Caenorhabditis elegans: one gene and its partners. The protein of the gene in region 2 purifies or fractionates together with the protein of the main gene of each other region. This does not show direct contact. Each region holds a gene or a part of one and is shown on either strand. Other genes may lie near its edges.

The links.
Region 1: the proteins of rsp-6 (region 2) and gcy-27 fractionate together in Caenorhabditis elegans (co-fractionation; one large-scale study listed by BioGRID). This does not show direct contact.
Region 3: the proteins of rsp-6 (region 2) and nuo-5 fractionate together in Caenorhabditis elegans (co-fractionation; one large-scale study listed by BioGRID). This does not show direct contact.

Annotation. Positions count from the first base shown.
Region 1 is NC_003282.8:17,434,573-17,438,326, reverse strand, and holds the start of gcy-27 (Receptor-type guanylate cyclase gcy-27), read left to right. Parts: upstream 1-1,695; coding exon 1,696-1,769; intron 1,770-2,107; coding exon 2,108-2,189; intron 2,190-2,232; coding exon 2,233-2,520; intron 2,521-2,568; coding exon 2,569-2,640; intron 2,641-2,735; coding exon 2,736-2,910; intron 2,911-3,269; coding exon 3,270-3,461; intron 3,462-3,678; coding exon 3,679-3,754. Other genes in the region: C06A12.8 (RxLR effector protein), read right to left, coding at 172-342, 388-443, 619-751, 797-868. UniProt on the Caenorhabditis elegans protein: Guanylate cyclase involved in the production of the second messenger cGMP. May be involved in sensitivity to quinine by regulating egl-4 activity through the production of cGMP.
Region 2 is NC_003282.8:7,789,345-7,793,098, forward strand, and holds rsp-6 (putative splicing factor, arginine/serine-rich 6), read right to left. Parts: upstream 1,886-3,754; 5' UTR 1,885-1,885; coding exon 1,831-1,884; intron 1,778-1,830; coding exon 1,647-1,777; intron 1,601-1,646; coding exon 1,493-1,600; exon of another isoform or gene 1,054-1,492; coding exon 901-1,053; intron 854-900; coding exon 760-853; 3' UTR 503-759; downstream 1-502. Other genes in the region: imp-3 (IntraMembrane Protease (IMPAS) family), read right to left, coding at 1-145; C33H5.13 (CYSTM domain-containing protein), read right to left, coding at 2,470-2,590, 2,647-2,765, 2,810-2,848; Nucleoside-triphosphatase ntp-1, read right to left, coding at 3,080-3,340, 3,389-3,754. UniProt on the Caenorhabditis elegans protein: Plays a functionally redundant role in shifting germ cell sexual differentiation in hermaprodites. Required for the development of somatic gonad structures and for progression from larval stage to adulthood.
Region 3 is NC_003283.11:2,696,827-2,700,580, reverse strand, and holds the start of nuo-5 (NADH-ubiquinone oxidoreductase 75 kDa subunit, mitochondrial), read right to left. Parts: upstream 1,610-3,754; 5' UTR 1,604-1,609; coding exon 1,511-1,603; intron 307-1,510; coding exon 1-306. Other genes in the region: Y45G12B.2 (Zinc finger protein-like 1 homolog), read right to left, coding at 2,001-2,123, 3,128-3,431.

The DNA of each region.
Region 1 (3,754 bases), 9.6 Mb from region 2:
ACCAAGATTTCATTACCGTATCTAGTTATATTTCAAATTATAGACTTTATCTCGTAAAGTTTCTTCAAGTAAGAAAGGATGTGTTGCTTTTTTTTGCATTATATTGTTCTCAGTAATTATTTTTTCATTAATACAACTGAAGCAGTAAAATTTTTTTGGCTGATGAAATTTTCAATACTCTCCATAATATCGAATTGTTTGAATTGCAAATGCATTAGTGAAGGATCGCTTGGTCCATGCGATAAACGACCGGAGAAGTAGATGACCAGGAACGTCATGAGATTCCGAAAATTTGAACTTGAAATCCTTGCCACGTGCATCTACGTGTCCAAAGCGGCGAAGCTGAAAACAGCGTTCAAAAATAACATGGGAGATGACGCAAACTACCACAAATGAGCCCAACTGTCTTTCAGAAAGTTCCGAATAGTAACGGTCAAACCAAGCTGGAAAATTATAAAAATTTTTAAACCTCTGTTCATAATAGATGACCGAGCTTTCTTTTTTTTCTCGCATCTCAAAAAAAAGAACAAATAATTTATTCGTGTTACAAGCTTCAAAGCTCGTATTTTTCGCATTGTTTCCAGGAGCCATTTTTCAACTTAACAAACTTCCACATACATTCCGAATCGAATTTAGCAGAAAAGTATTTTTCAAATTCTGTCATATTTCTTTTCCGGACAGCAGACTGTATTTTCATAAGCATTGTGTCAATTGCTCGGTCTACCGTGATATTTCTTGCAACATAAGCCGTCTATAAAATAACTGGAAAATTTAATAATCGTTTTTTCAAACTCACAGTTTTTTCGATACTTTGGAAAAGAACAATGAAAAACAAGATGGTAAAACCGAATAGACAACCAAACTTCATTGATGTTGAATGAAAAGTTTTAGTCAGAAAACTGTCGGTTTTAGGTGCAGCTTTGATTGAGGCGAACAAAACAAAATTCAAAGGTTTTATTGATATGATAATTTTATTTGTCCGCGATCAGCTAAAGATGTAAATAGTTTTTTCTTGACAATTGACGTAGAAGAAGAGAAAAATATGAAGAAACTGAAAGATGCGAACAAATACTTTAATAATTCTGGGCAAAACTTGGAAATTTTATGAAACTTTAAAAAAATAATATTTGTGCATTGATACCTTTCGCTGAAACACTAGTGTTTGAAAAAATCAGATAAAAGTTTGGCAAATTATATTCTCATGCTCGTCTGTTTTTTTCAAAATGTAATTTTGAAAGTAAATCTTGGGGAACAAAACATTATCCTTTTCAGCTGGTACAGTTTTTTGTAGGAATTACAGTTTTCTTCTCCTGAAAACTAAAACGATATTAAAAATTTTATAAACACTTTTTTCGAGTACAAATAGGTTTTAGTTACATGTTTGATAAACTTTCATAAATTAACTCGCGAAATCATAATGTTGTTTGTTTGAAATCTAGGCCAATACCAAAACCAAAATTGGCATGAGACAAGTTTTCAATTAGAACACTTTTTTCTATACTATCATCAAATGTTCCTCAAGTTTTAATGCCCGTTAGGTTGCACTTTTATTTTGTCTTTGCCTCCTCACAAGTTTTTCTTGTTAATGAGTAGTTGTGAACATACTCATCAAGTATCGGTTGCCATGGAAAAATAACTCACACATTTCAGAGTCTTTCTCGAGATACAACTTTCATTTTATTTATTTTCTACCAAATGAACAAGCTTATCACTGTCATCCGAGATTTCTCATATAGTGTTTATAATTGGTGCTACGAAACTGTAATAGGGTAATTTTCATTTTCATGATCTTCTGAAACGTTACAAAAAAAAGTTTCTTTAATTTTCTTACTGTAGCAGGTTCCAAAAAACTTTAAAAAATTTAAGTAATAAACTGAATAGTTTTTCTATTAACAGGTATGTCCATTATACTTGATAGTATGAATGAAAGTTTGTAATATTTTTCTCGTCAGTATACTCCATCAAGTGTAGTTGTCGCTACTGCGAACGAGTTTTTTAAAATTTTAAAAGAACTGCCTTATCGATAAAGTCATAAAATAATTATATTTTTGAGGAGTTTAATAAACAAAACGTTTTTGTTCCCTTTGAAAGTCATTTAATATTTCAGGGAAAATACTCGGAAGTACAAGATGACATGGAAAGTTCCAAAGGAATCTTTGAAAATTATTGTTAACAAGAATGCAGATGCGGTAATAAAATTCAAATTACCAGTAAATGCGTCTTTAAATTTAGAGAATGCAACGTGAACTTGAAAATAGAACAGCAAAAGATGAAGCAAATGCTTTAACATCACGACGAAGGGTATTTGGCTCATATGCTCTAATTGGCACCCAAAGAGCAGAGTTTATTCAGTTTCGACAAATTAAACATATCGATATCACTAATGCTTCTTTAGACTTTTTGTATAACTTAAAGCAACTGAAACATGACAATCTGGCAAACTTCTATGGTATTCAATTGAATGATGATCTCAACACAATGACAATTTTACACGCATTAGTGGAACGAGGAACACTGGAGGTACAAGACTTACATTTCTCAGTAATTAGAAAATCAGGCTAATTCAAGGAATTTTGTTTGGATCGAGATTTCGGTATGGATGAAACGTTCAAATCCGCATTTATGAGAGATATTTTGAAGGTAACATTTTGCGTTATTCATTAGACTCCATGAACAACTGAAGATTAAAAAAAATAATTCTATAATAAAAATCACAAATCGATTGTTAATTCAAGGGTCTTCAATATCTTCACCTATCTCCTGTTGCGTATCACGGTCATCTTCACGCAGCCACTTGCCTAATAGATATAAATTGGGTACTGAAAATTGCATTATATGGGGTCACAAACTTTGTGTGTGATAACTTCGACGCAGAAAATATAACGATGCCAGATAGAAGTGACTATACTAGTGAGTAATTCAAAACAATGTGCAAAAAAGCCAGACAACAATTTCTAAAATAGCTGATTGCGGGAAAAATTGGAAGCTGACAATAGCCGGAAATCTACAATTATCAATTTCTACACCTATTTGACTTGAATTTTCTTGAAAAATTTGTATCTTTCAATCAGAAACTGTTTTACCTGTTCACGCCGTTACTTCAACCACAACATTTACACTGAAAAACAAAGTATATTTTTATTTTTTGAAAAATAATGTTTAAAAGTTCCGAAAAACAACAATTTTGGCAATTTCCGAATTTGCCGATGACCGAAAATTTTTGGTTGCCACCTACCCCAAGAATATATGCCTTCTTTTCTTATTTTCAGTATCTTACGCGCAGTATGTGTGTTTTCCGCCGGAGCATATTCGAGAATATGATGCTACTGGAAAACTGCCAACCAGATTTGTAAGAGGCAGTAAACAAGGCGATATTTATTGCGTTGGAATGATTTTTTATATGATGATCGAACGTGAAGATCCATATCGACTGATTCACTCAGTTGAGCGACCGGGTTCTGGTAAGTTAGTTGAGAAGTTGCAATGGGTCAAAATGAGTCGACTCGCAAACAAATGAAGACCAAATCAAATGAAACTCAAATGAGGACCGTTAAATATGACAAACTAGGATGTTCTTTGACTTGCCGCAATATAACCTCCTTGCTAATATGCCTAACTCAAAGAGCTTTGTCACCTTTATGCTTGGTCTAGAAAAGCATCAGGGAAATTTATCTTAAGGTCTCATGATGGAAATTCTTGATCACAATCTCATGCCATTCATTTCAAACAATGAAACACAAGAGGACACTCTGCT
Region 2 (3,754 bases):
AAAAGTAAATTGTAGATGCCCTTCGACAGGAGTGATAAAGTACAATCCATGAAAGAATTAAAATGCTCGCCGATGCGGCAATCTTTGCCACGTCGTCTCGCATTTTTGGTGGCGAATCCTGAGCTTTTTTTGAATCAGTACACATACTTTTTCTTTCTGGGAATAGCACGTGCTAACTGTGAGACGATACGAAAACAAAAATGGCAAGAGACGAAGAGAAATCAAGTAGAACCGTACTATATAAAGACCTGTTTATCCTTTGCCATACGAAACAAAAAAGAAACGTGCGTTGCTGCCGGTGGGACGACACATAAAGAGAAATAAAGAATGTGTGGGAAAATCAATCTTCTACTGCTGGCCGGTGACCAACATTTTTAAAGAGCACCACAAACACGTGCTGCTCTCTAGTTCTCCAAGCAGTTGTTTACACATTCGAAAACGCTCTCACAGAGCAAAAAGTCGCACAAAATAAGGTCTCCCTGGATTTCCCCGTTCACAAATTACCGAAATATTACTTTTATTTTCCGACAACAGTTTATAAAATGGATGAAAGTTCACGATTTTAGGTTACAAAAAGAGGAACAAAATAAAAAAAGACAGAACAGTGAAAGGTAATAATGGTAAAATTCGGTTAAACAACAAAGAAATTAAATTTAGTGAAAACTTTTTTAAATCATTGATTCGAGATTCTTCGGAGGAATTAGGGTTGCAAATTGATGTTGTGGAGAAGATACTGTATGGTCTTGGATCTTCCACAATTTAGTGCGGAGAAGCAGAACGGCTGCGAGAACGGCTTCGAGAGCGGGAGCGACTCTTCGAGTGAGAACGATCACGTTCTTGAGGAGATCGAGATCTGAAATTTCTCATTTAAATTTAAATAACTATATCCAAAACTCTTACCTTGAACGAGTACGTTCTCTTTCGCGACTGCGTTCACGACTGCGATCTCTGCTTCGGTCACGACTGCGATCACGGCTTCTGTCGCGGCTGCGATCACGTCCACGATCACGAGAGCGTGAACGGGAACGTCCACGGTCTCCTCGGTATGGCGATCTGAAATAAACAATGTTAAAACATTCCGAATATTGCATATTTGTCGAATACATCTTTCCTGCAGATGGCAGCATAAAGAAAGGTAGATGTAACTTTCTTACTGAATGGGAAGATTCAGCCGACGAAGGCATGATGAGACGATTTTGTCAGAAGCTCGATTCAGGAACTACTGCGGAGAATTAACTGATGAAAAGAGTCAAAAACAATTCTGGTGCGATGATTTTGGGAGAAGTAAAGGGCGCGTAGCGATGTGGAAGAGAAGAATGTGTCGTGAAGACAGAAGACGGAGAGGAGTGGAAGATAGTGATGTTTGGGATGGCAGATGGGGACGCGGACGAGCGGAGTCCGCTAAAATTAAAAATTTGGTCCACGGTTTTACCGAATAAAATTTTTAATACAGCTCTCTTTTCCTTTAACTATCAAATTATTTTCAACTAACCTGTCTCTTCCGCCACCACCTCGGCCGCCGAAACCTCCACCACGACCGCCACCGCCACGTCTTTGTCCAGTTGAAAGTTCAACACGAGCACGGACACCACAGATTCTTCTATAATTTTGAAGCATTAAACGAATATCCAAAGCAAACAACTTACGATCCGTCAAGAGCGCGGACAGCATCTTCAGCGTCACGAACGTCGTCGTATTCCACGAACGCAAATCCAGGAGGGCGACGAGCTACCCAAACCTTACGGATCCTTCCAAATCGATCAAAAATCTCTTCGAGCTGAAAAATGTATATTTACATAATTACTGTTAATGGCTCAAGATTGAACTCACTTCTTGTGATGTTGCATCACTCGGCAGACCGCCGACGTACACCTTGGCGTCCATACTGAAAAATCAAATTAATTTATGAAGTTGCAAAAGAACGAAGTTTGAATATTCAAAAAATAATTATTGAGAAACAAAAATAAGTGTGAAACGGAGATAGCTCGAGAGCAACGCGCGCGAAATGATTTCAATAAACGCGACGCAGCTGCTCGCGATGCGTGTAGTACGGTAACACTTGTTTCAGCTGTGCAGATTTCCTAATGTCGGGGTGAGATAACGGCGCGAATTCGAACGAAAATTTCAGTTGCAATTAATCTTTTTGATAAATGCATTTTATAAATAAGCCGAATTTGTTGCACTGTATAACGGATACATGTATTAATACAGAAATTGTGCAATAAAAAGTAAACTCGAATGCATCACATTTACACTTAATTTTTTAAAGCATGCCTTGTTGCATGTTTCCACTAAAATATGTTTTATAAAAAAACCGAAATGATAACTATCTTCTGAAAATATACATACAAATGTGAAAGTAGAATTGTGCTGAATTTATTTCTAAGTAGAAATAGCAAAACCAGTCAAAGTTTCAATTGATTTTTATATATCAATTGCAAATTTATGAACCAGATTATCAAATTAAAATTATTTGCTCAAACACAAAAAACATAGACAAGCCATTAAACCAGCTAAGCAACACATTTCGCCTCCTCCTCCCCCGTGCTCCCGTTCACGATGATGATGATGGTGATGGCAGTCGTCAACTCTGAAAGAAATAAGTCAATATTATTAATTTTTCGCGAAATATCGAATAGAACTCACATGACAGTTTGAGGCTGTTGATAATATACTGCATATGCTGGTTGAACGCCTTGTCCGATGGGAACACCGGGTTGTACTGTGTAGACACCTTGTGGAGGTTGTGGATATGCGTTATAAGCCTTGAATCATTTTCGGTTTAGTTTTTTTCAAAGATCGAACTCACTTGATTGTAAGGTGGCGGTGGTGGTGGTGCGCCGCTCATTGTCAAATACTGAAAATATAGTGATAAGAGAATGACGATTCAAAGACGACGAGTTTATAAAATACTCCTTTTCCTTATTTGCCTTTCGCTGATTCATCTAGAAGTGAAGTGACGAAACTTAGTTATCATTTTAATCGGGTTGAATATAAAGTAAAAGACCAGTCACACCTTTTTATTGCATTTGACATGAAAATAATGATAAATTATAATTGTTATAAGTTAAATCATGCTCTACACATTTAGAAAATCCGGTTTAGAATCGGTTCGCAGAAAATTATATTTTTTGTACGTAGATTCAGATTGAAGTTGGCGATATAAAGCAACTGCCAGTACAATGATAAGAATGACAAAAAATGAGAAGAAATTTGATATTTGTTGGGTAGATTGCGCAACTTCAAGTTGTTCTAGTAGGTTGAATTTGAGATCCTTTGAGTGATAAAGCATTGCTCCTAGAGCCCATTGCATTTCTTCACCGGCTATTTTCAGAACACTCTGAAAATATTTATCTTGAATGTAAGATGTGTCTTTAAAAATTCATACCTGAAACAAATGCTTGGTTTTATCCACATTAAAACCGTCATGAAGTACACTGGTCACCCAAGCAGCTTTGAAACAGTTTGTTCCAAGTCGTTCAATGTCAGCGTTGGGAAATTCATTTCTTTTGAATCCATCTTGAATATCATTCCAATCTTTTTGGCAGTATTTTCGAACTTCGTCCGTAAATTTTTGATAATGATATTCGCCACCAGATCCGAAATTGCTTGTCGTATACCAGTATTCTGAGAAGCCATACAATTGAACAGTTGATAGGTTAACTGATGGAGCAATCACGTTACGTAGGAAACATGTTGGGTTTGGACAAGAAGGTTGAGCTTTATCACCGATTAAAGATGATACTTGTGCAAG
Region 3 (3,754 bases), on a different chromosome or scaffold from region 2:
TTGATCACAAATCGGGCAGTCGAGTGGATGGTTGTTGAGCATGAACTCCATCACCCCTTCGCGAGCTTTTTTCACGAAATCCGAGTTGGTTTTGACTTTCATTCCGTTCATGACAGGCATCGCACATGATGCGACAGGCTTCACCGACTTCTCCACCTCTACCAGACACATTCGGCAGTTTCCGGCAATTGAGAGACGGTCGTGATAGCAGAAGCGTGGGATGTCGACGCCGACGAGCGCGCACGCTTGGAGAATCGTCATTCCCGGGTCGACGAGCACTTTTTTGTCGTCGATGAAGACTTCGACCTGGAAGAAAATGAGGTGATTTTTAGTGGTTTTTTTGTTGATTTTTACAGGGAAAATCGAAAAATTTCGATTTTTTTTATTTGAAAATCGAAAAAAAATTTTTTTTTTAAGTTTTTTGTTTTCGGAAAATGGAAGAAATTTGTTTCGTTTTTTTTTTTTTTTAATTGAAAAAAATGTTGGGTTTTTAGGTTCCGGAAAATCGAAAAATATATATTTACGATATATTTTTAAAAATTGAAAAAAAAACGAATTTTCGATTTTTTACAGGAAAAATCATCGAAAAAATTCTGATTTTTTGAACTGAAAGCTAAATTTTTAGATTTTTTACAGGAAAATTAGATTTTTTAAAATTGAAAAACGTAATTTTTCGATTTTTTTTTAATTGAAAAACGTGCTTTTTTCATTTTATGTTTTTTTTGTTGATAAATTTAAAAACGAAATGTTTCGATCATTTTAATTGAAAAAAAAAATTAGATTTTTTACAGGAAAAATCGAATAATTTTTATTTTTTTGTAAAAAAAATTGTCAGAGAAAATCGAGCATTTAAAAAAAAATTCGATGTTTACAGGAAAAATCGAAAAAATTCCGATTTTTGAACCGAAAAACTAAATTTTTGATTTTTTTACAGGAAATAACGATTTTTTTTTCAATTGAAAAACGAAGAAATTTAGATTTTTGTTTAAATTAAATAACGTACTTTTTCGATTTGTTCTTTTTTCGGAAATTAAAAAAACTAAATTTTCCGTTTTTTAAAGGAAAAATCTAAAAATTTTTGATTTTTCGAACCGAAAAACGGAATTTTTCGATTTTTTTAATTGAAAAACGAAAACATTTTTGATTTTAGTAAAACATCATTGCACCATGTATTTTGTAAAATTTTCAATTAATAATTAGTGCCAAAATATAGAAAATCACTCGATTCATCGAGAAAATCACATTAATTTCGGATGAAACAGTTGAGAAAAAGCTCAAAACTGTCTTTTTGAGCGCTTTCTCCAACATTTCAGCTAAAATCAAAGTGATTTTCCGATAAATCGAGCGATTTTCTATATTCTGGCACTAATTTTAAATGGAAAATGATGGAAAATTGGAGATTGTAGATGAAATTAAGCTTTTTTTTTGAATTTCTCGCTAGTTAATTCGTTATTTTTTTGCCAAATCCATTTTTCTTCAATTTTTCCGCCGAAAATTCCAGTTTTTTCACCTTTTTCGGTGGAGCCGGAGCCGCCACCGAAAGCGATCTCTTCTGTTGAGCCTTCGACACTCCGCGGACAATTTGTCCACCGACGCGATGCATGGTGCTCTGAAATTGCAATTACTTCCTGAAATTTTTTCCGAAAAATTGAGAGAAAATAAATATAAATCTCGGTAGAAAATTAACCGAATTTCAATTTTTAGAGGAAAAAAAATCAATAAATACCATTTAAACCACCGAATATACAAGAAATAGGGCAAAAAAAAAGAATAAATAATTAATAATTAATTACAACCAAGTTTTAGCTAGTTTTAGCTAGTTTTTAGCGAAAAAAATCGAAAAAAATCAGAAAAAATCCCGTTTGTTAGCATCATTAGCAGGCGAAAGTAAAAATAAAAAATTTTTCGAAAAACTTTTTTTTTCGTTGGGGAATGAGTAGACATTGAATATTACACAGAAAGGGAAGGATATGCACATTTTTTTCAAAAAAAAAAATTTTTTAGACGTGTGGAAGACGAGAATCTTCGACGGCGACGCGAATATTCGGATTGGCCATTGGATCGAAAAGGGGGTCCGATGAGTGCTCGCCGCTGTATCCGGCACGCTTCATCACCATTATAATCTGGAAAAATACAATTTATTTGGAATTAAATGAAGTTAGAATCTAAATTTGCTTGATAAGACTCATAAACACTCAAAATTTGCTTAAAAAGCCATAAAATTCGCTCAAAAATACTCAAAATTCACTCAAAAAAAGTCAAACTTTGATCAAAAAGCCTTAACATTTCCTTCAAAAATACTCAAAAATTGCTCTAAAATACTCAAAAAATTGCTCAAAAAGACAATAAATTTGCTCAAAAAGCCTTAAAATTTGATCAAAATGACTCAAAATTTGCGAAATTTGATTAAAAACACTCAAAATTTGCTCAAAAAGCTCAAAATTCGCTTAAAAATACTCAAAATCGCTCAATTTTAGCTAAAATACACCAATTTCGCCGACTTTTCCGTGTCGCAGCGGTCGGAAATTGACTTATATTTTATTTTCATGAAATTTCATCGTTTATTTTATATTTTTATTGTTTATTACACATTTTTTCGCTATTTAATGTACATTTTAAGCCACACGGCAGACGTTGAGCGCAAAAAATTGTGGGCGGGGTCTGGACCGCAATTCTGCGGCGCGCGATTTCGCAACTCCGCCGCGCTGTTTTTTTGTCAGTCGAAATTTTTTTTTCATGAGATTTTATCGAAATATCTCGAAAAAATCACGATATACTGGAAATTTTATTCGAAAAATGCGAAAAAAAACTTAAAAACTTGTAAAAAATAGTCGCGCGGTGGAGTTGCGAAACATCGCGCCGCAGGATTGCGGTTTAGGCTCCGCCCTCACGTCGTTTTCGGTTTATATGCTTCAAATGTACACTAAATAACGAAAAAAACGTGAGAAAAACGATAAAAATTGAAAATAAACTGTGATAAAATCAAATAAAAGCGAATTTCCGACAGATGCAACACGGAAAAGTCGGCGAAATTGATGTATTTTAGCTAAAATTAGGCCATTTTTTCAGGGAAAAAATATTTTTTTGGCGTTTTTGAGTCTATAAAAGTCGCTTTTTAAAATCCAACCGTAATCAAAGCCAAAACGGCCAGGAAAATCACGAAAAGCGCGATTTTTTTCGCGGAAGCCCGTTCCTGTGGGACCCCGGAGCCGCCATGTTTTGCTCTCCAGAGCCCGCGCATCCAATCCATCGTCGGGCGCCGTTTATATTTATTCTCCTCGTTATCGGCGTCACGGAGCTGTAAAAGTGGACGAGTATCGCTTGAAGATTCGGCTCCGTAGTTCTTTTTTCGCGCAAAAGTGACGTCATTGTTGGAGACCGAGTAGGAAGCGGTGTCTTCCATTTCCAGATGGGTTGCGGGGGTGGAGGATCTGGAAAAAAATTAGAAATTTTGGGAAATTGCAAAAAAAAATGGGCCTTTCTTCAGACTTAGGTTTCTTTTTTTCGTTTTTTTTTCAAATTTTAACTTTAAAATTGGATTTTCTAACACTTTTTCACATAGAAAACGGCTTTTTACGTCGTAAATTGGCCTAAAATGCATTTTTATGTAGTTTAAACGATAAAAAATGAGAAAAAACGTGAGAAAATCGATTTTTAAGTTAAAATTTCGAAAAAAGACCCATTTTTTCGAATTTTTGAGCGGTTTTTTCGCGAAATTCGGTCATATTCACCTATTATTGTGAACTGGCGCCTC